Tamandua tetradactyla: one gene and its partners. The protein of the gene in region 1 interacts with the protein of each later gene in a pairwise test. Links are inferred from orthologs where the notes say so. Each region holds a gene or a part of one and is shown in the gene's direction. Other genes may lie near its edges.

Evidence for each region.
Region 2: the proteins of CCNDBP1 (region 1) and NANOS2 interact in binary tests that used the Homo sapiens proteins (3 or more experiments, as listed by UniProt). The two-hybrid records come from large-scale screens. The link is inferred for Tamandua tetradactyla from reciprocal best matches to the Homo sapiens genes CCNDBP1 and NANOS2.
Region 3: the proteins of CCNDBP1 (region 1) and PIAS2 interact in binary tests that used the Homo sapiens proteins (3 or more experiments, as listed by UniProt). The two-hybrid records come from large-scale screens. The link is inferred for Tamandua tetradactyla from reciprocal best matches to the Homo sapiens genes CCNDBP1 and PIAS2.
Region 4: the proteins of CCNDBP1 (region 1) and PIMREG interact in binary tests that used the Homo sapiens proteins (3 or more experiments, as listed by UniProt). The two-hybrid records come from large-scale screens. The link is inferred for Tamandua tetradactyla from reciprocal best matches to the Homo sapiens genes CCNDBP1 and PIMREG.

Annotation. Positions count from the first base shown.
Region 1 is NC_135340.1:57,391,573-57,399,526, forward strand, and holds the start of CCNDBP1 (cyclin-D1-binding protein 1), read left to right. Parts: upstream 1-4,942; 5' UTR 4,943-5,056; coding exon 5,057-5,165; intron 5,166-5,340; coding exon 5,341-5,400; intron 5,401-5,776; coding exon 5,777-5,853; intron 5,854-7,431; coding exon 7,432-7,513; intron 7,514-7,954. Other genes in the region: TMEM62 (transmembrane protein 62), read left to right, coding at 3,990-4,316. UniProt on the Homo sapiens protein: May negatively regulate cell cycle progression. May act at least in part via inhibition of the cyclin-D1/CDK4 complex, thereby preventing phosphorylation of RB1 and blocking E2F-dependent transcription.
Region 2 is NC_135342.1:15,163,743-15,168,698, forward strand, and holds NANOS2 (nanos homolog 2), read left to right. Parts: upstream 1-4,021; coding exon 4,022-4,438; downstream 4,439-4,956. UniProt on the Homo sapiens protein: Plays a key role in the sexual differentiation of germ cells by promoting the male fate but suppressing the female fate. Represses the female fate pathways by suppressing meiosis, which in turn results in the promotion of the male fate.
Region 3 is NC_135344.1:36,265,627-36,272,827, forward strand, and holds the start of PIAS2 (E3 SUMO-protein ligase PIAS2), read left to right. Parts: upstream 1-4,180; 5' UTR 4,181-4,328; coding exon 4,329-4,352; intron 4,353-7,201. UniProt on the Homo sapiens protein: Functions as an E3-type small ubiquitin-like modifier (SUMO) ligase, stabilizing the interaction between UBE2I and the substrate, and as a SUMO-tethering factor.
Region 4 is NC_135332.1:59,057,415-59,064,478, reverse strand, and holds the start of PIMREG (protein PIMREG), read left to right. Parts: upstream 1-4,060; 5' UTR 4,061-4,108; intron 4,109-4,596; 5' UTR 4,597-4,631; coding exon 4,632-4,946; intron 4,947-5,888; coding exon 5,889-6,184; intron 6,185-6,695; coding exon 6,696-6,791; intron 6,792-7,064. UniProt on the Homo sapiens protein: During mitosis, may play a role in the control of metaphase-to-anaphase transition.

The DNA of each region.
Region 1 (7,954 bases):
ACGTATTTGTGAATTTTCTGGCACTCTACCTATTATTGATTTCCAACTTCATTCCTTTATGATCCGAGAAAGTGTTGTGTATGATTTCAATCTTTTTAAATTTGTTAAAACTTGCTTTGTGACCCAGCATATGGTCTATCTTTGAGAATGATTCATGAGCACTTGAGAAAAAGGTGTATCCTGCTGTTGTGGGATGTAATGTCCTATAAATGTCTGTTAAGTCTAGCTCATTTATGGTAACATTCAGATTCTCTATTTCTTTATTGATCCTCTGTCTAGATGTTCTGTCCATTGATGAGAGTGGTGAATTGAAGTCTCCAACTATTATGGTATATGAGTCTATTTCCCTTTTCAGTGTTTGCAGTGTATTCCTCACGTATTTTGGGGCATTCTGGTTCGGTGCGTAAATATTTATGATTGTTATGTCTTCTTGTTTAATTGTTCCTTTTATTAGTATATAGTGTCCTTCTTTGTCTCTTTTAACTGTTTTACATTTGAAGTCTAATTTGTTGGATATTAGTGTAGCCACTCCTGCTCTTTTCTGGTTGTTATTTGCATGAAATATCTTTTCCCAACCTTTCACTTTCAACCTATGTTTATCTTTGGGTCTAAGATGTGTTTCCTGTAGACAGCATATAGAAGGATCCTGTTTTTTAATCCATTCTGCCAATCTATGTCTTTTGATTGGGGAATTCAGTCCATTGACATTTAGTGTTATTACTGTTTGGATAATATTTCCCTCTACCATTTTGCCTTTTGTATTATATATATCATATCTGATTTTCCTTCTTTCTACACTCTTCTCCATACCTCTCTCTTCTGTCTTTTTGTATCTGACTCTAGTGCTCCCTTTAGTATTTCTTGCAGAGCTGGTCTCTTGGTCACATATTCTCTCAGTGACTTTTTGTCTGAGAATGTTTTAATTTCTCCCTCATTTTTGAAGGATAATTTTGCTGGATATAGGAGTCTTGGTTGGCAGTTTTTCTCTTTTAGTAATTTAAATATATCATCCCACTGTCTTCTAGCTTCCATGGTTTCTGCTGAGAAATCTACACATAGTCTTATTGGGTTTCCCTTGTATGTGATGGATTGTTTTTCTCTTGCTGCTTTCCAGATCCTCTCTTTCTCTTTGACCTCTGACATTCTAACTAGTAAGTGTCTTGGAGAACGCCTATTTCTTTCTAATCTCTTTGGGGTGCGCTGCACTTCTTGGATCTGTAATTTTAGGTCTTTCATAAGAGTTGGGAAATTTTCAGTGATAATTTCTTCCATTAGTTTTTCTCCTCCTTTTCCCTTCTCTTCTCCTTCTGGGACACCCACAACATGTATATTTGTGCGGTTCATATTGTCCTTGAGTTCCCTGATACCCTGTTCAAATTTTTCCATTCTTTTCCCGATAGTTTCTGTTTCTTTTTGGAATTCAGATGTTCCATCCTCCAAATCACTAATTCTATCTTCTGTCTCTTTAAATCTATCAATGTAGGTATCCATTGTTTTTTCCATCTTTTCTACTTTATCCTTCACTTCCATAAGTTCTGTGATTTGTTTTTTCAGTTTTTCTATTTCTTCTTTATGTTCAGCCCAGGTCCTCTTCATGTCCTCCCTCAATTTATCAATTTCATTTTTGAAGAGGTTTTCCATTTCTGTTCGTATATTCAGCATTAGTTGTCTCAGCTCTTGTATCTCATTTGAACTATTGGTTTGTTCCTTTGACTGGGCCATATTCTCAATCTTCTGAGTGTGGACTGTTATCTTCTGCTGCTGGCGTCTGGGCATTTAGTCCGATTTCCCTGGGTGTCTGACCCAACAAGGTTGTAAGATTTTTCTGTGAAATCTCTGGGTTCTGTTTTTCTTATCCTGCCCAGTAGGTGGCGCTCGTGGCACACGTTTGTCTCACGTGTTTGGAATGGATCCCCCGGTCACCGATCTCCGCGGCCTGGGGATTTCCGATCCAATTCTCTCCGTTGGTTCGGGGGGCCGCGCGTGGTGGGGGCGTCAGCCGCCGCGGCTTGAGGAGACCCTGTGGCTGGTCGCCGGCCGCAGCGGGCCCGGGGAATTCACCACGGGACCAGGAAGTCACCCTCTGGGGAGGGGCGTCGGTCACCGGCCGCTGCAGCCTGGGGAATTCCCCACCGGACCAGGAAGCCGCCCGCGGGGGAGGGCCACCGCGGCTTGGATAGCCCTCTGATCCGAGACTCGTAGCCGGACCAGGAAGCCGCCCGCAAAAGAGGGGCGCCGGCCACCTCGGCTTGGGAAACTTGCCTCTCCGAGACTCTCAGCTGGCCCGGGAAGGAGGGAGGGTGTAGCTCCGGCCGCCGCAGCTGCTGCTGCTCGGGAAATCGCACGCCGCTCGGGGATCTCACCGCAGCCAAGTCTCGCAGTCAGACTAGCCAGTCCAGACTGGGGTACGCTGTGTGTCCATTCCCTGCCGTAGCCCCGGGAGCTGTTCTGCACTGTTTCAGTTCACCTAGTAGTTGTTTTGGAGGAGGAACTAAGACGCACGTACCTTACTAAGCCGCCATCTTGGCCCCGCCTCCCCGATTTCGATGGATTGGCTTTTAATAAAAGGGGATTTATTTAGTTAAAAACGTATAGTTCTTCAGAGGAAAGGCAGCTAACTTTCAACTGAGGTTCTTTCTTACACGGGAAGGCACAGGGCGATTGCTGCTGGTCTTCCTTCCAGGCTTCTGGGTTCCAACAACTTTCCCTGTGGTAATTTCTTTCTGCATCTCCAAAGGCCTGGACTGAGCTGGGAGTGCTGAGCTGGGAGTGCTGAGATGAGGTATACTGAGCTGCTTGGGCTGTGCTAGGTTGAGGTCTCCCATTTAAGCTTCCAGCCAGTTAAATATCATTCATTGCAGCAGGCACACCTCCTAGCCAACTGCAGATGTAATCAGAAACAAATGAGCTTCACATGCCATTAGCTTATGTCCATAGCAACAAAACTAGGCATCTTCACTTGGCCAAATTGACACTTGAACCTAAATACTACACCACCTTAGCCTAAGTCATAATTATTTCTTGCCTAAACTACTCCAAATAGTTCCCTAAATGCTTCTTCTCACTGCTACACTAGACCCAAACTGTCAGTTCACCACAAAGCATCCAGTATGATATTTTTGAAATCTTAATCAGCTCACTCACTTCTCAGCTTGAAACCCTTTAAGCAGAGCATGAACTCAGTCCTGCTGACTACCCCAGTCTCCACCTGGCTTATCATGCTCCAGGTTCATTGGGCTTAAAGAGCTCAGGGCACTTTCACCTCTGGGCTTTTCATTTGTTCCTTCTACTTAGAATGCACTTCCCTTCATTGACTCATTTCCATCTTTCAGTTCTCAGGGAGGCCATACCCTGGTTATTCTCTCCTGACCCAGTTATTTCCCTCATTAAACTTATCAGAATTATCTTTTTTTTTTTCTTTTTCTTTTTGCATTTACCTTTTAACTATTTTTTTGTGAGGGGCGGGTTCTTTTTTTTTATTTCTTCTCCTTGTTAGAATGTAAGTGCTATGATAGTTCATTTTCTGACTTTTTCACCAATGTGTTCCTAGCCTAGAGCCTAGCATACTACCTATTACATAATGGGGGCTCAATAAATATTTGTTGAATGAATGAATAAACCATATAGCTGCTAAATTTGTATTGGAATACAAATCAGAAGAGTGCTCACTCATCATGCTGCCTCAAACAGAAATACTGATATCTAAGCCTCTCCTCTCCCCTCCTCTGCAAAACTCAGTTTCAACTTAAACTCTATTATAGCAGATGCTGTGTCACACTGTACTACAAGTTGGAGATTTGAGTGAACAAGAGGACACAGGCAAACACACAACGAAGTATAAGCCAACTGTTTTGTTATAAGCAACTGTGATCAAAGCAGAAAGAATCAGAGCTATACATATTCTTAGGATCCACCTATAATATATCTATGAGACCCAGCACTTCCAAGGGCTATGTGGTAACTTAATTCTGTTCTGCTTCTGCTTCCAGCTGGTGTTTTTTAACATCCCTTTGATGGCTTATCTGTGTTGGAGCTTATTGCAACGGTGCTTTGGTTACAACTTCAGATCTCATCTCCACCAAGGAAAATACTTGAAAATTATACCTGTTCACCTACTTATGCTACTGCTGTACATCTGGCAGGCTTATTCCTGCTACTTTCTTCATGTGACATATGGCACCCTAGCTTTTTTCTTCTCTCCTTTGTGGACCTGGTTGACACTGCTGACACCTCTTCTCATTCGTTGTGTGTGGACATTGAACTCCACTGAGCTTGGAACCTTTGTGGTGCTGTTAAAAAGCCACCTGAGCTCCTAAAGGCCATGTCTTACCAGTAGCAGCTGGACCAAGCTCCAGTTTCTGCCTCTATAGTGCAGGACGTGCCCCAGCAGCAGGTGGAAGGCCAGTTGGTGGGTAAGCTTCAGGAAGCTGCTGCTCCTTGGAAGTCCAGAGTTGGAGAGATTACCCACTACTGTTTCTTGCAGAATGGACTAGAGGCAAGTCTCTAAATAATGTGTGATTCCTTCCTTCCCCAAGGAGGCAAAGGATTGATTTACCTTTGTGAAGAGAAAGCCCTAATCTCGGAGATGCACAGTGCAGGGACTGGGTTTGTAAATGGGAGTAGCTAAGGCCCAGTATGTTTTCTGGGTTACCCCATATGAAACACCTAGCACAGAGCCTGGCACGTAGCTGGCAAGGGTGCCATTTTAAGGACAGTGAACCAGTGTAGCCTTGGGGCCCTATCCTGACTATCCTTGAGAAATTTGCTCCCAGACCTGTTTGCCCTCAGGGTTATGGATTCTCTGCTTCCTCAGTCGGGGGTGTTTTCAGCTAATCAAATAAATGAATGAATGAGTAAGCAATTTCATGGTCTCTGAAGGCGGGAGGAGGCCTGTGGCTACGAGGGGCGTGGTCTAGTTTCTGGGGCGGGGCGGGACAGTTTGTTGCCGGAAGTCAACCCGGGTCCGTGGTCCCCGGAAGTGGAGTGGTGCGGTTTCCGCAGTGCGGCACTTCCTGGGGCCGCGGCGGTATTTGTGGCGTTCAAAGGTGAGACAGCGATGGCGAGCACAGCTGTACCTGCAGCCACGGTACCCAACCCTGATCCACCTTTGGAGCAGCTCCAGAACTTGGCAGTGGAGCTGCGGTTGCTCATGACACGAGTGCGGGGTGAGTTGAGGTCGTTGCAGTTAGAAAGGGACACGGCAGAGGCGGGTTTGGGTGGGAGACAGGCTGCGGCGGGGGACCCAGATCGTGCAGAGGTGGTGGGGGGCCGGAGATGGCTCCACTTAACGTCAGCTTTTCCTTTCGCCACCGCTTGGCCTGCACACACTACACACACAAGTCGGCGAAGCCTGGGAGACCACAGAGGAGTTTAATCGGGAGAAGTTTTGGAAAAGACTCAGTGAGTGCTGTTCTCGCTGCGGAACCTCCCCCCATTCCCTTGCCTATCGCTTTTGTCCATGGGCCTTCCTCCAGCTTGAGCTGCATCCGCATGCTGTTCCCATCCTCTCTTCCCCACGGAGATGACTGTCTCTTTCTCGCTGAATTCTCACTGTGGGTGGGAACCTCACATTACTCAGCCTCCACAAGTGAGAGTTTGAAGTTAATTATAAAATGGTGAATTTTGGAGGTGTTTTTAAGAAACCTCAACACGTAAAGGGTGGAGAGGGAATTCATTATCTTTCAAGTCCGAGCAGCAGCTGCAGCCTTATCCATTAGCACTAACATTGGCTCCCTCCTCTTCCTCTGTCACCCCAAATTCCCCCTACTCCCTCCAGATGAGGCAGCTGAAAATGTGTCAAGGGAAGCCACTAATCTGACTGTAGTCTCTCGACTTCCATTGCCGTCTCCACAGGTGGGCTTTACTTTTCGTGGTTTTGTACTGCTACATTATTATCTAGAAACCCTCACATTTTCGTTCTATGTTTTACAGTAAAGCAGGGGATTTGTTTTCCTCATCTGTCAATTGGCATTACAGTTCTTCCTCACAAAACTGTAGTGAAGACTCAGTATGTTAACATGTAAATTTCCATGCGCAATATTTAGCATTAGGTCTTCTAAATAATTGGTTCAATCTGAAGTTCAGCCTGGCTCTTTTTTTCCTGATAACTTTTTTAAGCACTTGTTTTTTGCTAGGTGTTTTTACATACGTGATCCCCATTTGGCAGATGAGCAAGCAGACTTAAAGGATCAGGTTATGGTAATTTAATAGTGGAGCTAGGATTTAAATTAGGGTCTGTCTAATGTCTCAGCTACACCCTTTCTGCTATGCTGTGTATTTTTATATTCAATTAGAGTTTTATAGTTTTAGCTCTTAAAATTAGGTTGTTGATCTATTTTTTAAAAAAATTTTATTGTATAAAATAACATATATATAAAGCTAAGAAAGAAAAAAGCAATAGTTTCCAAAGCATTCTTCAACAAGTAGTTAGAGTTAGTTATGGGTTACCATACCATCATCTCAGATTTTTCCTTCTAGCTGCTCCAGAACATTGCAGGCTAGAAGGAAAAAATACTTTTTCATCATCACAATTGACTTTGTTTTTCTTTTTTTGTGAAAAATGACATATATACAAAAAAGCAATAAATTTCAAAGCACAGCGCAACAATTGTAGAACAGATTTCCTTGTTTGGAATGGGTTACAATTCCACAATTTTAGGTTTTTAATTCTAGTTGCTCTAATACAGTAGAGACTAAAAGAAATAACAATATAATGATTCAGCAAGTTGTTGATCTATTTTGAGTTAACTTTTGTATATGGCATAAAGAATTTAGAATTTAGATGAGGTTAAAGAAGAAAAAGCCTAAGACTGATTAGAAGAAAAATAGTCAATATTAAGTATTTGTTGAATCCATGCTAATTATCTTTAGAAATATATTGTGATTCTCTTTTTTAAAATAGAGAGGACAGCACTAATGTTCTCACATAGGAATTGGCAATCTTTTTCTGAAAAGGGGTAGAGAGTAAGTATTTTAGACTTTGTATGCCAACTCTTCAACTCTAATCTAGTAGTGGATTAACTGTAAACAATAAGTAAATGAATGAGCATGGCATGTTCCATATAACACTTTATTTAAAAAAAACTGGCATGGGCCTAATTTATTCCATTGGCTTTAGTTTGCCAACTCCTGGCATAAGATATGGTAAATACGTCATAATAGATCATTACTGTTTTGTGATATACAATATCAGGAATATATTTTTCTTGCTGTTTCTTAATGTTTTATTGCATTATCAGCCTAGTATCTGGTATCTAATTCTTCTCTGGTATGTAAGGAGTATAGCACAAGACCTTCCTTATAGTAGGACTCAGAAAATGTTTGATGATGCTGTACAGATAGCTGCTCTCTTCCACAGTAGAAAGATTGACCACATTTATCTATCTAATCCATTTCCTTTTTTCATCCTGAAATTGGTTCCTCACCTTAAAGAAAGCTCAGATGTGCTGTGAACAAGTCCGTGCTGCTATCGAGGCAATAACTGCAGTGTACTATTCGCTTCCTAAGGATCAGGGTAAGCCACTGTGTGCACAGAAGCATTCAGTTTATAGACTAGATCTTTGCTAATATAACAAGTTAATCCTTAAACTTTTACCATTGCCCCAATTTTTGCATATAACTTTCCCCTATAAAATGCCATCAAAGATCAATTTAATAACACAAGTGACCTTTGGAAATGAGCAGTTATGCTAAGGTACACAGTGTTCCCTGTAGCTCACTTTCTCTCCTCCCTTGCATAACTTGGCTTTTAGTTCTTCTCAGTGGCTCTTCCCTCTCTAGCGCATGCTAACCAACATAGCTGGATCTCAGCCCCATACCCAGGACCAAGCCATTCCTACTCTCCTCTGCCATATTGCATCATACCCACTTGCTGAGCTCCCATTAGTTAAGTAGCCTCCAGCTCTCCTGTAGATTCATGCCTTGACAAAATTATAAATTGAAACATGCCGTGGAT
Region 2 (4,956 bases), on another chromosome or scaffold:
CTCAGCCCCTCTGAGTCCCTGTCACCATTTTCTGTGACTCTTCCTCCTCTTTTCCAGGGTCTCTCTCCTCCTGACCTACCCCCCCCACCCCACCCTCCGCAGCCTTCCCTGCACCCCTCCCAGGGCTGTTTTCTGCCACCACTGGGAAGGAAATTGACAAGTAAACAGGGCAGCTGTGGAGTCTGGTGGGCCCACAGGGGCTGTGGTCCGGGGGTGGGCTGGAGCTGGGGTTCATGGTGAAGTAAACAAGACGGCTGATGAATTTCCTATCAGTATCTCCTGGGCCTTCCCCTCAAGACACAGCAGCAGGCAGACCCCGGCCAGGGCCAGCATCTGGGAGACAGCCTCAGGGCTCAGGCACGAAAACAACACCAGCTAGTGGAGGGAAAGGAGCCGCATCCCAAATAATAGAATCCTAATAGAAAACAGTGGAGGGGAAAAATAAATAAATAATGAGGAAAAAAGGGAAAGAAAACAACAACAACAGAGTTGCACAAAGCAGAATCTGGGACTCTTCAAATACTAGTTGGGATGGTTGAAACCCTCGCCTGTCCTTGCGTCATTCTCAGACGTCCAGTAGATGATGCCACACTGCATCGGTGGCCCAGGGAAGGCTGTGACACACCCTCCAGTCTCAACCCTCCCAAGCAGATGGACTCAGCTGTGATTTGCATGTAGCATCCCCCGCTCCCCGTCCCCGCAGCCTCCTGGCGCCCCCTCCAGGAGCCTTGTTCCACAGGACACCGCAATCTCTTCTGCTTTCAATTAGGTCTAGTGCATCCATGGCCAACAGGCCTTACTTATTCTCTCCAAGCAAAGTTGTTGGCTCAGTTTGCCCCATCCCTCCCGGTTTCCCATCTCACTACCCTTCTAGCTGGGAAGTCCCTCCACAATCTAACCACAGCCTCTCCTGCTTTCGGCAGACCACTTAGGCGGGCTCTCCACTCAGCAGGTTTGCGTGCCTCCTGGCAAGGGACAGAAGGGACATCCTGGATCGGGGTCAGGTAATCCTGGGTTCAAGTTCCAAGCTCCAGTTTACTAGCCGGATGGCCTTGGATGTGGCCCTCAGCCTCCCTGAGCCTCCCATTCCTCATCTGTAAAGTGGGACCCTCCCTTGAGGATTCAAATTCATGTCACAGGGAGAGGGCCCCTGCTTGGTATCTATAAATAAGCGCCGGTATGATTTTTTTGCCTTAATTGTGTCTGAATTGTCCTAGCTAACTTTTTTTTTTGATAGCAGCAAAATATATGCAACATAAAATTTGCCATTTTGACCACTTGAAGCATGCAATTCAGTGACATTAATTCGCGAGGTTGTGCAACCATCACCACTAGCAATTGACAAAATCTGTCACCAACCCAAACAGAAACTCCACACCCATTAAACGATAACTCCCCATCCCCTTTGCCTCATCCCCCAGTAACCTCGAATCTACTTTCTGACTCTATGAATTTGCCTATTCGCGATACTGCATGAACATGAAAACATACAGCATTCATCCTTTTGTGTCTGGCTTCTTTCACTCAACGTGAAGTCTTTCAGATTTAAATAAACATGGGGTATCATGTGCCAGGACTTAATTTCTCTCTCTTTTTTTTAAATATTTTTATTGACAAAACATAACATGAACACTCTTAACATATGAATATTCCATTCTTAGTATATAATCAATGACTCGCAATATCATCACGTAGTTGTATTTAGGATTTTATTCCTTTTTATTGCTGATTAGTGTTCCATTGTAAGGATAGATCGCATTTTGCTTACCCATTTATCTGTTGATAGACACGTGGGTTGTTTCCACCTTCTGGCTAATGGGAATAATGCTACGATGGACACTGATGAAAAGTCTCTGTTTGTGTCCCTCTATTCAGTTCTTTGGGTCTATACCAACTACGGGAATTGCTATAGCTAATATTTAATGGGTACCTCGCAGGGACCAAGCTCTGTGCTTAGGGTTTCCTATTCACAATGGCCATCCCGCTCTGAGGCATGTGCTGGCATCACCCTCACCTGATAGATGAGGCAACTGAGGCTCAGAGAGGTTAAATAACCCTGCGGCCATCCAGCAAGCAGATGGCAGGAACATGCTGGAACCAAAAAACACTGTGCTGCCTGCCAACAAACTGTGGGCTTGTTCATGCTCCAGTCACCCCTCTGTCTCCCTCCACTTGATCCAGTGACCCTAATATGAATAGAACAGAGGGGTCTAACTCACCTCTTTAGGAAAAAGGACTCCTGAGCAGGCATAAAACCTCGCAGCCACCACAGGACCGTGGCTGTGCCTTTACACACCAGGACTCTAATAATGGTGTTTGGTGCATGTGTGAACCCAGAATACCATCTTGGGGCCTTGGTTTTCACACCTGTAAAATAAGAAATGGGGTGAGCTGGACCTGATGATAGGGATAATCCTTTGTAGCTCAGATTCTGGGTTGTGAGGGCCATTGGAATATCTGGCGTCCCTGCCCACTAAATCTAGCCGCTGCCTCCAACAACTACGGCAAACCCCAAATGTACCCATTTCCACACCACCCCTAAGGGAGATGCACGGTCCAACGGGATTCAGCTTCTACAAATGGTTCTGGCCTCATTTCAGGACGCTCATTCTGCTCTGCCCCTCCCCCCCCCAACCCCCAGCCTCCTTGTTGTTCCTACGTCTATGTTTCTCTTTCTGGAAGATTCTCCCTTGTGGTCCCAGCTTCTGGGTCACCCCCTCCCCAGCCCAGCCTCTCTCCAAGCTTACAGGTAACTGGGCCTTTGCATCTGTTGTTCTCTTGTTCTCTCGTGGCTCCTCCCCGCTGGACTGGGGACTCAGGAAGTCTATGTGGGCTAGCCTTGGCCTTGGATGGTTGAGCTTCCCAGCATCCAGCACAGGGGAGGCCTCGAGAGCTACGTGCTGAATGGTCAAGGCAACCAAGGGAGGTCACTGGTGGAGGGAGAGTCCCTGGAGGTGGGGATGGGCAAGAGGCAACACACTGACTTTGGTCCTGAAGGCCAGGAAGGATTTGCGGCAATGGATGGGACCAAGGAGCGAGGTGTGTCCTAAGTGAGAATGCATGATGCTACAGACCTCCAAAGCTTCTAAGACATTCCCTGAGCATCTCTGGAGTCAGACTCGGGTGCAAATCCCAACTCTGCCATTACCCAGCTGTGTGACCTTGAGTGCATCCCCTAACCTCTCTGAGCCTCATATCCCCAGTAAAATGAAACCGATAGTGCCCCCCTCCTTGAGTGCTTGTGAGGTTCAAAGAGATCACATTTATAAATCACTGAGCACCAAAGTATGCACTGGGTATATATGCAATGAATGAATGCCTCTTTGTTCAAGATGTAATGAAAGAAAAGACTTTAATTCAAAAGCAGTAGAAGGCACACTTGCTTTGGGCTTCCACAGACCTGGGTTGGAGTCCGGGCTCTGCCACTTGCACGCTGTGTGACTTTGGGCCCTCTCTGAGCTTCAGTTAACACATCTATAAAATGGAGGTAATAACGGCATTTCTGATTGCCATTCTGACCGCAGTTGTTGAGAGAATTAGAGCATGTGGGTACCTGCAGCACAGCATCTGGCCCTTAGTAAAGGAGCGCTGTTATTATGGGAAAGGCCGTAGATATGTGAAGGGAGCTGCCCCCCAACCTGGGAAGAAGGGAGGGTAGGGGCGAAGGGGGCATTTGCAGATAAGGACCTTCATGAACGGACAGGGAAACTGAGACCTGGGGAGGGGGAGGGGCTTGCTGGGGGTCACAGCATCCAGGAGGCAGAGCTGGGGACAGAGACTGGGAGGATAACCCCCTGCCAGATCTCGGTGGGGGATTAGAATCCGATGGGGCCCATGGGTTGGGAGTGGGCTCTTTAAATCCTAAGCTCCACCTTTGTTTAGAAGGGTCTCTGGGGAGTATAAAAGGGGGTGCAGCTCCTCTCAGCTCCACAAGACGCCTGCTGTTCCTGCCCACCGGCCCCCAACCCCCGGCCCCTCTCCAGCCACCCACCCCAGCCTACGCCCCACCCCCCCCAGCACCATGCAGCTGCCCGCCTTCAACATGTGGAGGGACTACTTCAACCTGAGCCAGGTGCTGCTGGAGGTGATCCGAAGTCGGGGGCAACAGCCAGAGGCCCAAGGGGTTGGTGAGCCAAGCCCTGGGCCCCAGCTGGGGCGGCAAGAGGGGCCGGGAGGGCCAGGGGCCGGCGGGGGCCTGGCCACCCTGTGCAACTTCTGCAAGCACAACGGCGAGTCGCGCCACGTCTACTCCTCCCACCAGCTGAAGACGCCGGAGGGCGTGGTGGTGTGTCCTATCCTGCGTCACTACGTGTGTCCCCTGTGCGGGGCCACCGGTGGCCAGGCCCACACGCTCAAGTACTGCCCCCTCAACGGTGGCCAGCAGTCCCTCTACCGCCGCAGCGGACGCAACTCTGCCGGCCGCAAGGTCAAGCGCTGAGGATGGGGACATGACCACAACCCACCCCTCCAACCCTTCCTGCAGTGCCCCCCGAACTCTCCCCCATCCGCACAACTGCCCTTTGGAATTTCTCCCCTTTGGATCGCGGAAACCCAGGCGTCTGCCCTGGGTGGGGAGTGGGGCCAGGCCTGCCATCCTCGAACCTCCCAGCCCCGTGGCTCCTTCTGTGCTGAAGTCCTTGGAGCTTCAGTTCTTCCCGGGGCCTGCTGGCCCTGTCTCTTCGACGTCTCAGCCACGGGACTCGATTCCTCGTGGGACTCCTGGATCCTTACACCTGGAGGAACTCACTGTGTTCGCTGGGGACAGTAAGCCAGGCTGGCTGGGACTCTCCCGCCCAAGTCCTTCAAGATTGGCCCTTTTCCCCCGTCTTTCAGCCACCTCAAGACCCACAGTTTCCTCGGGGATCACGCTGGACCGTTTCTTCCCCACCCTCATGGCCCCATCAGCCAGGAGCTGGGGGTGCAGGCTTATCCCCAGGAGGGAGAGCCGTGGGGTGA
Region 3 (7,201 bases), on another chromosome or scaffold:
CCTACTGGAGCCTTAATTTTCTCATTTGTAAAATAAAAGCCACATGATGTGCAACTAAAGTTCTTTTTCCTATCTAACATTATATGAAGCTAAATAGTTAATTGATAGTTAATAGATTTGAAATAAATATACAGTTGAGAAAAGCCAAATACATCATTTCCCAATAGTTATAAACTCATCATCAGTGAAAGAAGGCATCTGTATTTGTTATGCATTCAAAAAATTCATAATATAACAAAAGGTATTACACACCAACTGACAATTCTTTTCCTTAATAATAGCAATATTAAGGAATAATAATAATAATATATTATATATATGATAATCATATATCATAATAATAATAGCAATATTATTAAGGAAAACCAATAATAGCAATGAAAATATAAAAATCTGTATAAAAATTTTTATAAAACTTTAAAATTTGAAATACTTTTATACTTACAGGACAATTACAAAAATAATACCAATCACATACAGAGAACTCTAACATATCCCTATCTCCCCAGATACCCAGATCTACCAATTTTAACATTTGCCAATTTGCTATTCCATTCTAGCTATCTATCCTTTATTCTATCAACCCTTCTATGTATCTATCCACCTATCTATCAATCCATTTTCTGAATACCTACTTGAATGTAGATGTATACATCATGCTCCTTGAACCCATAATGCTGCCATGTACAGTTCCTAAGAACAAGGATATTCATTTTATAATCACCTTGAGTGCAGTTGTCAAGTTCAAGAAATTTAATGTTGATATAACATATTCTATGTTCTGCTTGATTCCCTCTCCCACAGTGTTTTCTGTAGGAGAGCTTGGTGAGCTGCCTTCTGCACACAGGACAAGTTCTGGGACAGCAAGTGCCTCTGGCCACCACCAGACAGATTGGGTCAGACATACAGGTTCCCAATATGTGCATGAAGGTTACTATTCTCCCTCTGGAATGTGGACCAGGGATTCACACTGGGAACACCGGTGGCTCTGCAGTAAACTGGTCATGGGATTGGGCTGGAACCAGCTAGGACACCCCTTTTAACTACACTTTTTCTTGATCCAGCACTTGCCCTGTTCATGCAGTCCTTTAAATGTTTCTGGAGCTTTGAGAAAGATGTTTCTGTCAGTTCTTGCCAGTTGCTCAAAGCTGTCGGGGTACAGAGCCACGAAGTGTCTCACTCTGCCATCTTGATTGAGGTGGGGCCTCCAAAAACAATTTTTTAAATGAACTTGTAAAATAATGGGAAGAAAAGTTGCTGTATGAGTACAGGGCATTGGCCTATACTGAGAAAGACTGTTCTATATACTTTACATAAATTAACTCATTTATTTAGTCTTTATAATAACCATATGAGAAAGGTGCTAATGTATCTTTTAAGAAATTTTTTATTGTGGTTAACAGGTATAAAACAAAATTTCCCATCTTAACTGTTTCAAGCATACAATTCAGTGGTGTTATTACATTCACAGTGTTGCATTACCATTACCACCATGTATTACTAAAAGTTTTCCATCACCCCAAACAGAAACTCTGTGCCCATTAAGCATGTATCTCCATCCACCACCCTCACTCCAACCCTGGAAGCTCATAACCTACTTTCTATATGATTTTGCGTATTCTAGCTAGTTCATACATGTGAGATTATACTATATTTGTCCTTTTGTGTCTGGTTTATTTCACTTGACACATTAATGAATTCTCCATTTTACATGCAAGTAAAGTACAAGTCAGGCAATTTATTAGCCCAAGGTCAACTATCCAGTAAAGTGACAAACTAAGTTTTAAACGCAATCTGGCTTCAGAAGCTCTCTGCTTAACCACTGCAATATGCTGATTTTGTTACTGGTTTCTCTATCAGAGATTTTCAACATTGAAAACACATGTCATCCAGATATTCCCTGAAGCTAGCTTTCCTTGAGAGGTTATCATTCCAGTTAACTATGGCTCTGTAAAAATCTACCCAAAACTTATGGTGTAAAACAACTATTTTATTATGATCATGGATTCCATGGGTCAAGAAATAAGACAGGGTACAGTTGGGATAACTTTCTTCTGCTCCATGTTGACTAAGACCGCATCTGGGAAGATTCAAAGACTGGAAGTGATTTGACAGCGAACTGAAATCTTCTGAAGGTTCTTTGCCTGACAGTTGGTGCTGGACCCTTTGGCATTTCCATATAACTGTTGAGATTTCCTCACAGGATAGTGGCTGAGTTCCAAAAGTGAATGTCCCAAGTGAATAAGGGGGAAGCAGTATTGTCTTTTATGACTGAGCCTTAGATGACAGAATTGTTTCCATCTTAGTCTGCAAGCTTACTCTAATTCATAAGAAGCAAAAACTTCAACTCTTAATGGGAGGTGTGTCAAAATCACATTGTAAGAAGAGCCTGTGGAATGGGAGAAATTGGTGTGGGGGGATGTTTTTAGAAGATCCAAGTTTCCGCCAAACTTATCCACTTAGCAGTAGCAGCTACATATTGGGAGAAGAACAGAATGGATGCTGGGGAAGAAACTACAATGTCGTACACTACAAATAAGTCTCAGGGCAGCCTTGCTTCTGTTAAGAGTTGTTCATGTTTGTGCTAGTCTCTCTCATGGGTTGAAAGTTCTTTGGTGGCAGGAGAGCTATAATACATTTTATTCATCTTTCTATTCCTCAAAGCTCCTAGTCCACAGTAATTTTAACTTAGTATCTGTTATACAATATGAAAGAGTCTAAGGAGAATAAACTAAGAGCAAGAATAAGCCAAGTTATGATCCCAAAGTTAATGGTAGAGAGCCAGAATTAGAACTTATTCTAGACACTATTTATTCCTTTATTTGTTAAACAATACGAGCCAATTTTTTAGTCATTAGGCATTAGTTCAGTGGGTTAAAAAAAAACTTTTTAAGATAAAAGTTTTAAACAATAATTTTTTATTATAATATAATAATTTCACAAACACCTACATAATTATTAGGGAGAAATGTTATGAAGTAAAAGTTCAGGGTAATATGAGAGATCGTTAAGAGAGATTTGAATTAAAAAGGGGGATGGGTTTTGGGGAAGGTCTTTCTGAGGAAGGGACATTTAAACTTAGATATGAAGGATGAAGAGGAGGTAAAGAGGCTAGGAGAGAGAGAATGGGAAATTATTCTTGGCCCAGGGATCAGCATTCAGAGATATGAAAACATGGGGAATAAAGTCTTATGGAGAAAAGTGAAAGAGATGCAACGTTGGAGAGAAGGGAGTGAGAAGAGGCAGTGGGTAGGAGCCCCCAGATTAAACAGGGCCTTATACATTAGATTAAGAGTTTTAAAGTCTTTTCCTGGGTGGGTTCCACCAACCTCTTCAAGGAAATCTGAATCCTGGACTCGGTCCTGAGACTCTTCTGACCAGCTTGACTCAGCATCTTCTTAGTTTCTCATCCTCGATCAGCATTTTAGGAGTGCCATCTAGCTTCCTCCCAACTACGCTGCCCAGGCATTTAATTCTTTCCTAGCTATCTGATTTCCCTGACCCCTCAGCTTTCTATCAGGGCTCTTCTGAGTGCACTCTTATTTCACTGCCCCCGCTCTTCTCAACTTCGCAGTCCGTGACATTCATTGCCCTTCAGAGTCATAAAGAATCAGCCAAGTAAGAACTCTGAAAATATTGGCAATTTAAAGCGGTCGCACCAATTCTGCACCATTAGATCATAACAATAGCTTACTCAACACCCATCCTTAGATTGTACCGCCACTACTACTCTGGGGGATGGTTTTATTTGTAGCTGTGTCTTCTATCCACAGTCCCGTGTGGAAGGGCACCGTAGGAATTTATCCGAAATACTCCTGTCACGAGTCCTTTCCACCTCTCCGGCACTTCCTCAGGCCAGACTCTTAACCCCGCGGGTAACGCTGCAGTCGGCGACCGCGCTTCAGGAAGTCGGCACCGGCCTCCGCGAAGGGGAAGGAAAGAACAACGAGGGGCTGAGGAGGACAAGACGAAAGAATGGGAAGGGGTGAGGAAAACGGAAAGGGTGCGGGAGAGGGCGGGAGCCAGCCCAAGGCCAACGGAGCGCGCCGCAGCGCGGGAGGAAGACGCGGGCGGAAGGTGGCCAGTCTGGGTGGGCAGAGGCTACCGGGAGGGGCGGGGCCGCGGGCGCTGGGGGCGGAGCTCCTGCGCCGGTCACGTGACGGGACCGGCGGCGGCGGCGGCGGCGGCTGTAGCGGCCGCGGCGTCTTTAGCGGCGCCCAGTGCAGGATGGTGCTTGAGGCAGCGGCGGCGGCCGTGGTGGCGGCGGCGTCGTTAGCGGCAGCGGGGGCTGTGGCGGTAACAGCGGCGGCGCCCGCGGATGGTATAAAATGGCGGATTTCGAGGAGTTGAGGGTAAGCGGGGCCGCGGAGTAGAGAGCGGAGGCCGCGGGGGAGGGGAGGCTGCAACGTCGCCGGCCGCCGCCTTCTTATTTCGCGGGCACCGGTTGGCGGAGTCCCTAGCCCCGAATCCCAGCCGGCGTCCGAGCAGTGCCGAGTGGGCGGGGGAGGTGAGCGAGTCCGTGGGGGACGCCGGGCCGTACGGGGGCGGTGGGCCTGGGGCCGAGGGCTAGCCGGTCCGCGCGTCCTACCAGCGGCTCCGCACACCTGGCACTGGGGCCTGGGCACCCCTCCGGGAGTGGCACGTGGGAATCTGACCTCCCCATTTAATTTAAGGGCCGAGGTGGGAAGCATTATTTCATTTTCCATCTTCTCAAGGGGTGGACGTGTCTGTGGCGAGTAAGTCTACGTGCTCCTCACTTGGTGGAAGACTGTTTTCTGAAAGGTGAAGTTGTTCTTAGGAATTATTCTCTTCTTTCATGGTTAATGCTACCGTTCAGTCAGGTCTGTCCCAAGAAAAGGCTCCTACCCCTTTCCAGTATTTCCTCAGCATGTGAGAGAAGCGTGGTCTTTTGGTTACTCTACCGTCAACAGTCGGCCTTAAACCTTGATATATGGCTAGTGGCGCTGGAAGAAATTCGAAAGTCTGTGTTGTGAGGTTTGTCAGTGAACTGAACTCACTTTGCTCTTGAGGAAGCAATTTATTTTCCTCCTGGCTTTATCACAAAGTAATGTACTTTATTGTTGATATCTTTATGTAGTTGAGGTTTGAATTGGGGTGCGATGGGGTTAGGACGGAAAAATAAGTATTTTTTCCCCAGAACGAAATATTCGGTGTCCTTAACTGAATCAAACTAAGTGTGATAAACGAGCCGGATTTATTTTTTTATGAGCACTGGAACTGGCGACATAAATGGGAAATTTAATGGAAACCATATTTAAAAAATTGTCTTTCAAAGTAGAGATGAATGTCAACTTGAAATTAAGTTAACTGCAGACAATTTGTGTAACATAGCCTTTAGGATATTAGGTTACTTTTTTGGAGTAAGAAGAAAGGGGAACGAAGTAAAAGATTCAGTTTTGTGTGTTTGTTATTATTTTTGGTCGAGGTATACTGTGGAGGAAGGAGCGTTGGGTCATTTGTTACCTGGCTAGTATAGTATAGTAATGGACACAAGCAAAAGAAACATGCTCATGGTTCTGATCTAAAGGAAGATTCTTATAGTTTATATAATGCCTGCCATTTTATCCTTCTGCTGTTTCAAATCACTTAGTTCCCAGTATGGAGAAAAAGTATATTTATGCATTTTGTGCCCTAGCTTATGGAGGACCATGATCATAGGCAAAGGTGTTCATATTGATAATCTAAGGGTTTTAGTGTCTCAGAATCCCAGCTGTGGTGCTTTTGACACCTGTGGAGTGTTTGAAACAACCAGGCTTGAGCTTCCTCTGTAAATTCATGTTTTAGGTTTTGGATGGGTTTCAAAGACTGAACTTTGAAGTTAAATTTATTTTTACTTGCAAGACTGTCTTAATTTTTGCATATTGGCAGATGTATACAGTTTTTCCTCTTCAAAGTTTTGTGTTGATGAAAGTTTTCCAGAACTTGTATTAGATTTTTATAAATATCGTCTGTCAAAGTTTAACAAAATGTGGAGAATTTATTTACTAGCACAGGGCAGAATGTGTGGTCACTGTTTAGGTTGGAGTTCAACCAGAAACTGAAAGGTGGTTGGAAACCAAAGAACCTTTTTCTCTCTCTTCTCTCCCATTTTGTTTTGTGGGTCAGTTTCATTCTTCTCTTCTTGTAAATCAGCTGTCTTTACTTCTCCCTGTATAAAAGGCCCCCTCCCACACAGTTTACTTCAGACCAATGGAGACTAACTGGTGAGAGTTTTCAGAGTAGAAGGTCTGGGCTCACCATCCTAGTATTTGCTGCTCAGTGTAGATCGGTTTTCCCCTCCATTCAAAGATGAATTGGGGCGGTGCGACGTGACAGTGGCTCCATGGCAGAATTCTCACCTGCCATACCGGAGACCCTGGTTTGACTCCTGGTGCCTGCCCATGCGAAAACAAAACAAAACAAAACAAAACAAAAAACGTAAAGATGAATTGTACCCCCTCCCTTACCCCAGTTGTGAATAGTCATCTTTTTCACAGTGGTAGAGTGATATCCCAAGATGTTTTCTTAAGCCAGTAGTGCTGGTGATGTATGAAAATGGCAGATACATACTGTCATATAATGCTTATTATGTGCCAGGCTGTGGCCTAGGCACTTCACATATACATACTCAATTCAATTCTCACAATTCTATGAGGATGTTGAGCCATGGGAGAGATTAAATAACCTAACCAAGGTCAAATAGCTCAAGCTGGAACTTTGAACCTTAGAGGTTTAGCTGTAGAGTTTGTGCTCTTCAGAATCTTAGCTATACTGCTTTGTTCATTTTCCTTCATGTTAAATAAGAGTTCCTAGTCATCCTACAATCTGTGGACTAAATTAAATGATAACTAAGCACTATTCTTCTTTTATGATATATAATAGTGGAGGAAAAACAGGGCAATTGATGGAAAAACTAATTAGAACAGAAGAAACATACAGAACTGGATGACCCCTGGTCCAGAATATATTATGATAGTCAGTGATAGTCAAGTTAATTATAGACCAGCAAAAATCATGGGCATTAGTTTATTGGCTAACTTCTTGGCAGTGAGGAAATGATTAGTCCTTCTGGCTGCCACATATTTGGCAGCTAGTTTTGCAGCTGAGAGGATTTCCCTTATGCTTGTCCATTATCCTTCAGGGCCACTCCCTAGGGGTCTGTATAACCAAAACAGTTTGCATCTGGTTTTATTGCCGTGTC
Region 4 (7,064 bases), on another chromosome or scaffold:
TCTGTTACAAAGAGAAGGGATACAAGTCCTTGCCATGAGGCAGAAGAAAGGACCCTGGGCTAGGAGCCATATAGACCTGAGTTCAAAGGCTGACCACACCTTTTGTTTACTGTCTCCAGTGGCCTTGGGTGTCTGGGTCCTGGCTCTCGTTTCCCCAATGGTGAAATGGAAAAATCGACTTCTCCCCTCCTCCTTCTCCAGCAAGTTGCAAGGCCTCCCAGGGACAGTGAGTGGGACCCCAAAACCCAGCACCCCTGAGAGTGAGGAGCCATTGGCATAGAGGAAGTGAAGTCTGGGCTAACTGATTCAGCCAAACCAGGCCTCCTCCAGGAAGCCCTCCCTGAGTGCTCAGACCCCCACCAGCCCAGTCTCCTGTCCAGAAGGCAGGGCATAAGGGTGAGGGGTAGGGAGACCCTTCCCTCCTCCGTGCCACCCTTTCTTCAGCCACACAGCAGCCTAGAGGAGTCTGCATACGTCGGAGATAACATGGATACATAGATGGTGACATTACAAAATAAAATGAATTGTTAGCAAAAAAGTTCCCATGGGTTTCTTTGGGTGGGGGGTTGTGACACACAGCAGGGTGGGAGTGGGGGCTGCTTCTGAGGTCTATCAATGTTCTGTTTCTTGACCTGGGTGATGATGGTTACCTGGGTGTTTGCTTTAGAAGTATTCACTATACTTTACTTGTTTAATGCCTTTTTTTCTGAGTGCTATAGTTCACAATAGAAGGCAAAAGTTCTGATCATGTCTCCCACTGCTTAAAACTCTCCCACTGCTAATGAATGGTTTCCCGTAATAGAAAGGTCAAAGGGCACAGACATTACAGAGATACTTCAAAGGGAGAACCACGGGATGGGCCGCTGGTTGGCTGGGGGGCAGGAGAGGTTGTTGAAGCTGATGCCAGCGGGAATTCAGGCTTGGTTGCTTCACTACTAAGAAGAATGGGGTCCCCTGCTGGGCTGGGCCTCAGCTCAGGTCACAGCCTCCCACCCCACCCCACCCCGCCACCCCCCCTGTATCCACATGGCTCCCAAGCCAGCCGCCTTACAGAGCTTAGTCATAACCCACTCCTCTCGTAGAATTTAGCAAAGGTTTCCCAATGGCCTCAGGATAAAATTCCAAACTTCCCTGCTCTACAGAGCACGGCAGGCTCATCCTCTGCCTCTTGCTACCCCTTCCCAACCCCTCAGCCCTCACTCTTTTGCTCAGCCAGGCTCAGCTTCTCCGGGTTCTGGAACTCGGCAGGGCTCTGGACTCCCATCTCTGGCCACCGCACACCCCTGTATCTGAAACCCTGTCCCCCTGGCTTTGTTGCCGCTACTCCTCAGTTAGCGTACCACATGCTCAGGGAAGCCCGTGCTGACCCCCAGCTCAGGTCAGGGTCCTGCCCCCTTACACCCCCTCATTGCCCCCTATCACTTTTCAGTCATGGCATTTTGCAGAATTGCAGTTGTTTATGATAATGCATCTGTCTCTTCCTTCACACTGGCCGTTCCATGCGGTCAAGGAAACTGGTGAAAGTTTTGCTGGTGACAGGGGGCCCCCAGGGACTGGGCTGAAGAGCCTCCTTCGTCCTCCCTCCCCCTTCCTAATGGAGGCAAAAGTAAGAACTGACTGTTTTCTCCTCCTTGCAAGAAGGAGCAGGAGACTTGGTCCTTGCATCTCAAATAGGAACCCACTTTCCTCAGCACATCCTCAAGACAATAGGGAAAGCCTTCTCATTCAAAAGGAAAGGCTTCTTCCCCCTTCCCCAGTTTCTATGGAGACTGCTTTCCCCGAATCTGGCCTGCCAGCTGTGATGGTGAGTGAGGGAAGTGGGGGAGAGCCCCGGGTGGAAGGTACGCCTCTTCACACACGTGCTCATTTTGGACATTGAATGAGGCTGTGTAATAAAATGTCAGGAATACAGGTTTCAGAGTCAGACAATCCAGGGGGTAAGTTCCTGCTCTGACCCTTACTGGTTCGTTTTACAACCTTCAGCAAGACACTTCACCTGTCTGAACCTCACTTTCCTCATCTGTAAAATTGGTAAGGGTCCAGAAATCTATAAGCTCTTATTATTGAGATTCTAGAACATATAGTAGGCCCTAGGGAGGCAACTGTGCCAGTCTAATCCGAGAGATTTTGTTCCTAAGTGTCTCACCCCCACTGAGTCCTTCTCACACTTTTTCAACTTAGTTTACACAGAAACGACTCTTTCTTTCTCCCCTCTTATGTCACTAGTAACTGACATGAATTAAATTCCCTAATGATAATAGCAAGTTCAACTGGCATAAAGAGCTTTGGGAGCAGACACTTCTGACTCTTGGCAAACAACTCACGGAAGGGGAGCAGCGTGAAGAGGCAAACTAGGGCAGTGTTTTTCAAATCACAGATCACGACCCCTCCGTGAGTCATCGGAAAACAAATTTAGTAAAGTCATAACCATTATTTATTTAATTGAACTAGAACATAAAATATCAGAGCAAATCACACACAGTAAAGGGTTTTTTTCATGAAACTTTAGCTCCCGTTGTACGTGAGCACATGTGCTGGGCTTCTCACAGTGGGTGCTGCCCCCTTGAAAGTGCCCTGCCCCCGTCTAGGGAGACTTCCCCACCCCATGTCACCCTCCCACACAAACACATTCTTTGCCTCAACTTTATGTGAGCGAACTTCCATGCGATTGTTTGATTAATTATTGGTTATTTGATTAATTGATGTCCATCTCTCCCACACACACTAGAGTTTGAGTTCCAGGGGGTAAGGAATACATTTCCTTGACCTGGGTAGCCCAGTTTTAGCACAGCGCTGATCCTATCACAGGCACCCCCGAGGTATTCTTTGGAGAGGCGAGGGGAGCATGAGGGAAGAGGAGGGGGGGGAGGGGGAGCCCACGTTTCCTTGGGACGTGTTGGTTTAAGGCACCTGCAGCGCTGGGGGGAGGGGGGCTCCAGGAGGGGGCTGGGAGGGGCTGAGGAGAGGCGGTGTGGCGCGCTGGGCAAACACATGGCCTCTGTTCCCAGACTGCCCAAGTTTGAATCCTTGGCTCTGTCCACGTTAGCTGAGGGAAACATGGACCCATCCTAACCTCTCTATCCGTGTCCTCATGGAGTCAAATAGACTGCAGTGAGGCAAAGGTGACAGAAAGGAAGTCAAGGGGGAGGGGGCAGGTGCTCCCCTGAGATCCTGCAAAAGAGGGAGACAGGCGGGGAAAAGCTTTTTAAACAGGAGATTCTTTAGCTTGTTTGGATGCCGACGGGAAGGGGTGGACCCGACACTGCAGAGAGGGGCGAGTCAGTGGGGCAAGGCTAACGGGGAGTGGGCAGGAAGAGCGGCTCACAGGGAGCGACTCTGGGTCTGTCCCAATGCAGGAGGGGTAGCCTTGGGGTCAGAGGGTGGGTGGAGAGTTTGGAGAACGCGGTGGGGGGGGGGGGCATGCCTTGACTCGCTAAGGGAGGGGGTCATGAGGGCAATTTGAGGCAAAATCCCTGTGGGAACCTGGGGCTCCGAAGCCCCTGCCCCTGTGTCTTTCTGGCAAACCACTGAGCAAGCGAGAAGAGAACGCCAGACGTCTAGGGCGGGGTGGGAGGGGCCCTCGTTGACCCGGGTTGGCTGAAGCTACCGGCTGAAGGGCCTGGAACTCGAGGCCGCCAAACCCTGGGTCTCCTCCGTGCCCGGAACCCCCACCCGGCCACCCCCACCCGGCCATCCCCAGGCCCACTTTGACCAATCTGAAGCCCCGAACACTCGGCAGGTTCTAGGGAGGGGCCCGAGCGTCCAGGAGGTGGCGCGGGGACTGGGCCGGCGAGGGGGCGGGGTGGGGTGGGGGGTGCGGGTTCTGGCCGCGGAGGGGGCGGGATGGACCGAAACAAAGCGGGGAGAACTTGGGGAGGGGGCAGGCGGGGGTTGGGATCCGGCGAGATGAATGGGGACGACAGGGCCAATCCGAGAGCGGGGCTCGCCGCCGAGAGAGGAGGCGGCCAATCGGGGCCCCGCGCGGCCGCGGAGGCGGCCAATGGGCTGCGAGGAGCGCGCCCGGGGCGGACCCGCGCGGAGTTTCAAATCCGCTGGCAGTGGAGGGGGCGGCCGGGCTCGGCTGCGGGTCGGCGGAGGACGCTGTCGGGTGAGTGGGGGCCGGGCCCGAGCCGGGCCTCTGCGCACGGGAGCCGGGGTGGGCGCAGCGTCCAGCGGGGACAGGCCCGGTATGGAGGAGGGGAGGGGGTCTGGATATTGCAAGCGTCCAGTAGAAAGGGGGGACGTCGGTCCGCGGGCCGGGGTTTGGGCCCGAGAGCGTTGGTCAGGAAGCGGCGGGCTGGGCCGGGGGCTGAGGGTCCGCGCGGGCAGGTCCTGACTCCGGTGGAGAGCGGGATGGATGCCGGAGTAAAAGCGCAGCCCTTTGGAAGATTTGAAAGGAGGGGCTGCAGGAAATGCTGACCATCCTTGTTCAGCCTCTTCTCTCTTCTGGGTCTTGCTGACCCCTCTTCCAAGGAACACCGTCCTTCCTGCCCCCACCCCATGGGCCTCCAACCTGTCTCTTCCCTGTGCCCACGGTCCCTGTGGAGCCTGGGGCGTGGGCCGCCTTGCCAACTTGCCTTTTGACCTCCTCCCCAGGATCTGGCGGGCAGAGCAGAGACTTGGCCCGGCAGATGGCCTCTCGGTGGCAGGGCCTGGGGGCCTCCAAGCGCTGGAGATTCCGCCAGGACCAAGAGCAGCCTGGGGAGAGTGAGGCGCTGCAGCCTGGGGAGAGCAACGTGCTGCAGCCTGCAGTCAGCCATCCAGAGACCTCCAGGGCCCTGGGCTCCCTGTGCAAACAGTTACAAAGGAGGCTGCCCCTGGGGACCGTCAGCCTTAACCTCGGGGCTGGCCCCTCTTGGAAACGCCTGGAAATCCCAGAGCCAGGGCAACAGGGTCTGCAGGCTGCTGCTCGCTCAGCCAAGAGCGCCTTGGGTGCTATGTCCCAGGTAAGACCGACAGTCCTGACCATCCCTTTATAGGAGGGCTTCCTTGGTGCTACACGGTGCCTGTCCTCAAGGCGCCCACAAGAATGGAGACTGTGTGAAGACTATATTGGGTGTGAGGGGCCCGTGTGACTTTTCCAAGCAGACACGTCTTCAAACCTGAGGCTGGAGCTGTCACCTAGAAGGGACAGAAGCTATGAGAGTAAGGAGACCTCCAAGGAGCGGGGTCCCCTTGGTGTCTGGTAGAGGATTCTGAAGATGTAGGGAGAAGGGAACCATTTCTAGACCCTTTGCAGAGAAGTCTCTGAGCCTAGTGTTAGCCTTTATCTGGAAGAACCCTGGGATCCTTGCTGCCACCTCCAGGGATCAGAGAAATGAAATGAGGTCACAAGACTCACTAGTTTTGCTCAAACCTCTGGACTCTGGGCAGTCCAGCCAATGAAGAGCCAACAGCCATCACAACCTCTCCCCACTTCCGTTGAATGCCAGGGCCGAGAGCTAGGGTTTGATCCTGTGGGCAGTGAGGGGCCACAAAGGACCCTGGGCACCCAGGTGTCATGGTGAGAACTACCCTTTAGAAGGATCTCCCTGGGGACCAATGTGGGTGATGGATTAGGGCGAGCGAGACCAGAGGCAGAAAAACAAACCATCTCCTAGCGTCCAGGGCCTGGTCATCTCTGGCCTTTCCCCTGAATCTCAAAAGAGGGTTTGGACTTAGACAAACGGAGGCTCTTAAGAGTCAAAGAGGGCTCCTGCTAACTCCCCAGGGACTCAACTAGGTCCCTACCGCAGAGTCATTTCACAGGGTGTCACCCGCATTCCTCACCCCGAGACTAAAAGCAGCCTGTGGGACAGCTGGTAGGCTCGGGGTTGGAGGTATGGCCTGGAGACCTGGCGGAAGCTCCCCGTTGGCTTTGTCTGTTCCTTTCCATGTATCTGTCACAGAGAATCCAAGAGTCCTGCCAAAGTAGCACCAAGTGGCTGGTAGAAACCCAGGTGAAAGCCAGAACGGGGAAGAGAGGGCCACAGAAGGCCAGCAGCACCCCACCCGGCAGCCGGAGCCAGAAGAGCACCAGGCTGTCTGGGGCTGCCCCTGCCCGCTCAGCCCTGGGCCCCTGGGAGAGGAAGAGTCACAGCCTCTCTGTCCAGATGAACCTACGTGCCCACCCACAACGGCGGTCAAGGAGAGAGGCTGCCTTCTGGAGCCCGTGCTCTTCAACAGAGCCCCTCTGCTCCCCCAGGTAAGTGGGGCCGCCCCTTGCCCCGGGCTGGCGGGTCTGAGCCTCAGCATGATTCTTACTCCTTGGTTAGCAAAAGACTAACTGGACCCAAGGGGGTTCTGAACACCTCCCATGGCCACCTCCCAGGGCCACCCAGGAAACCAGGGCACCTGGAGCTGAGTCAAATCCATGTTTTGGCAGCTCTGCCTCCACTATGAGGGGACCTGGGAAGTCCTTAAGGCCTCAGTTCCATCTGTAAAAAGAAGAGGTGAGCTTAGCTCTGGTTAGACCACATTCACCCAAGCTTCCCAGGAGACAGCAGAGCTCACCAGCCCGTGACCTTGGTCCCAGGGGCTTTGATCTCCCTGTTTTCTGCCAGGTGTTCCAAATTCATCCGTAGGTGTTGGTCTAGAGTGAGGGTTCCTGGCCCCCATCATTCATCTGCTGCCCTTAGACCAGGCCCCAGTGCTGGGTTGGGAAGGGCTACTGGGTTCCGACTACTCACTGACGTGTGCCTTCTCCTTCTGTTCAGTGAGTCTGACAGTGACCTAGAGCCTGTGGGGGCAGGAATTCAGCATCTCCAGAAGCTGTCCCATGAGTTGGATGAAGTCATAGTGGCTGAAGAGAGGTGAGCCGGCATCCCATGCTTCCAAGCAAGAAATGGCCAAGAGGGGCCCCTTTAGCATATGCCCTCTTTTTAGGCAGGTTTCTGGTTCTGGCTCTGACCTGCTGTGTGATCTTGGCCAGTTCCTAGCCCTTTCTGAGCCTCCTTCTCCTTATCCATAGCATATGAGTCTTTCATCCTAGACTGTGTGTGGTCTTCCAGCCATGTTTATCCATCACCTTCCATCATGTGGTTAGGGACCTGGTTCCAAACAGACCTGACCTCCTTTCAGCCCTC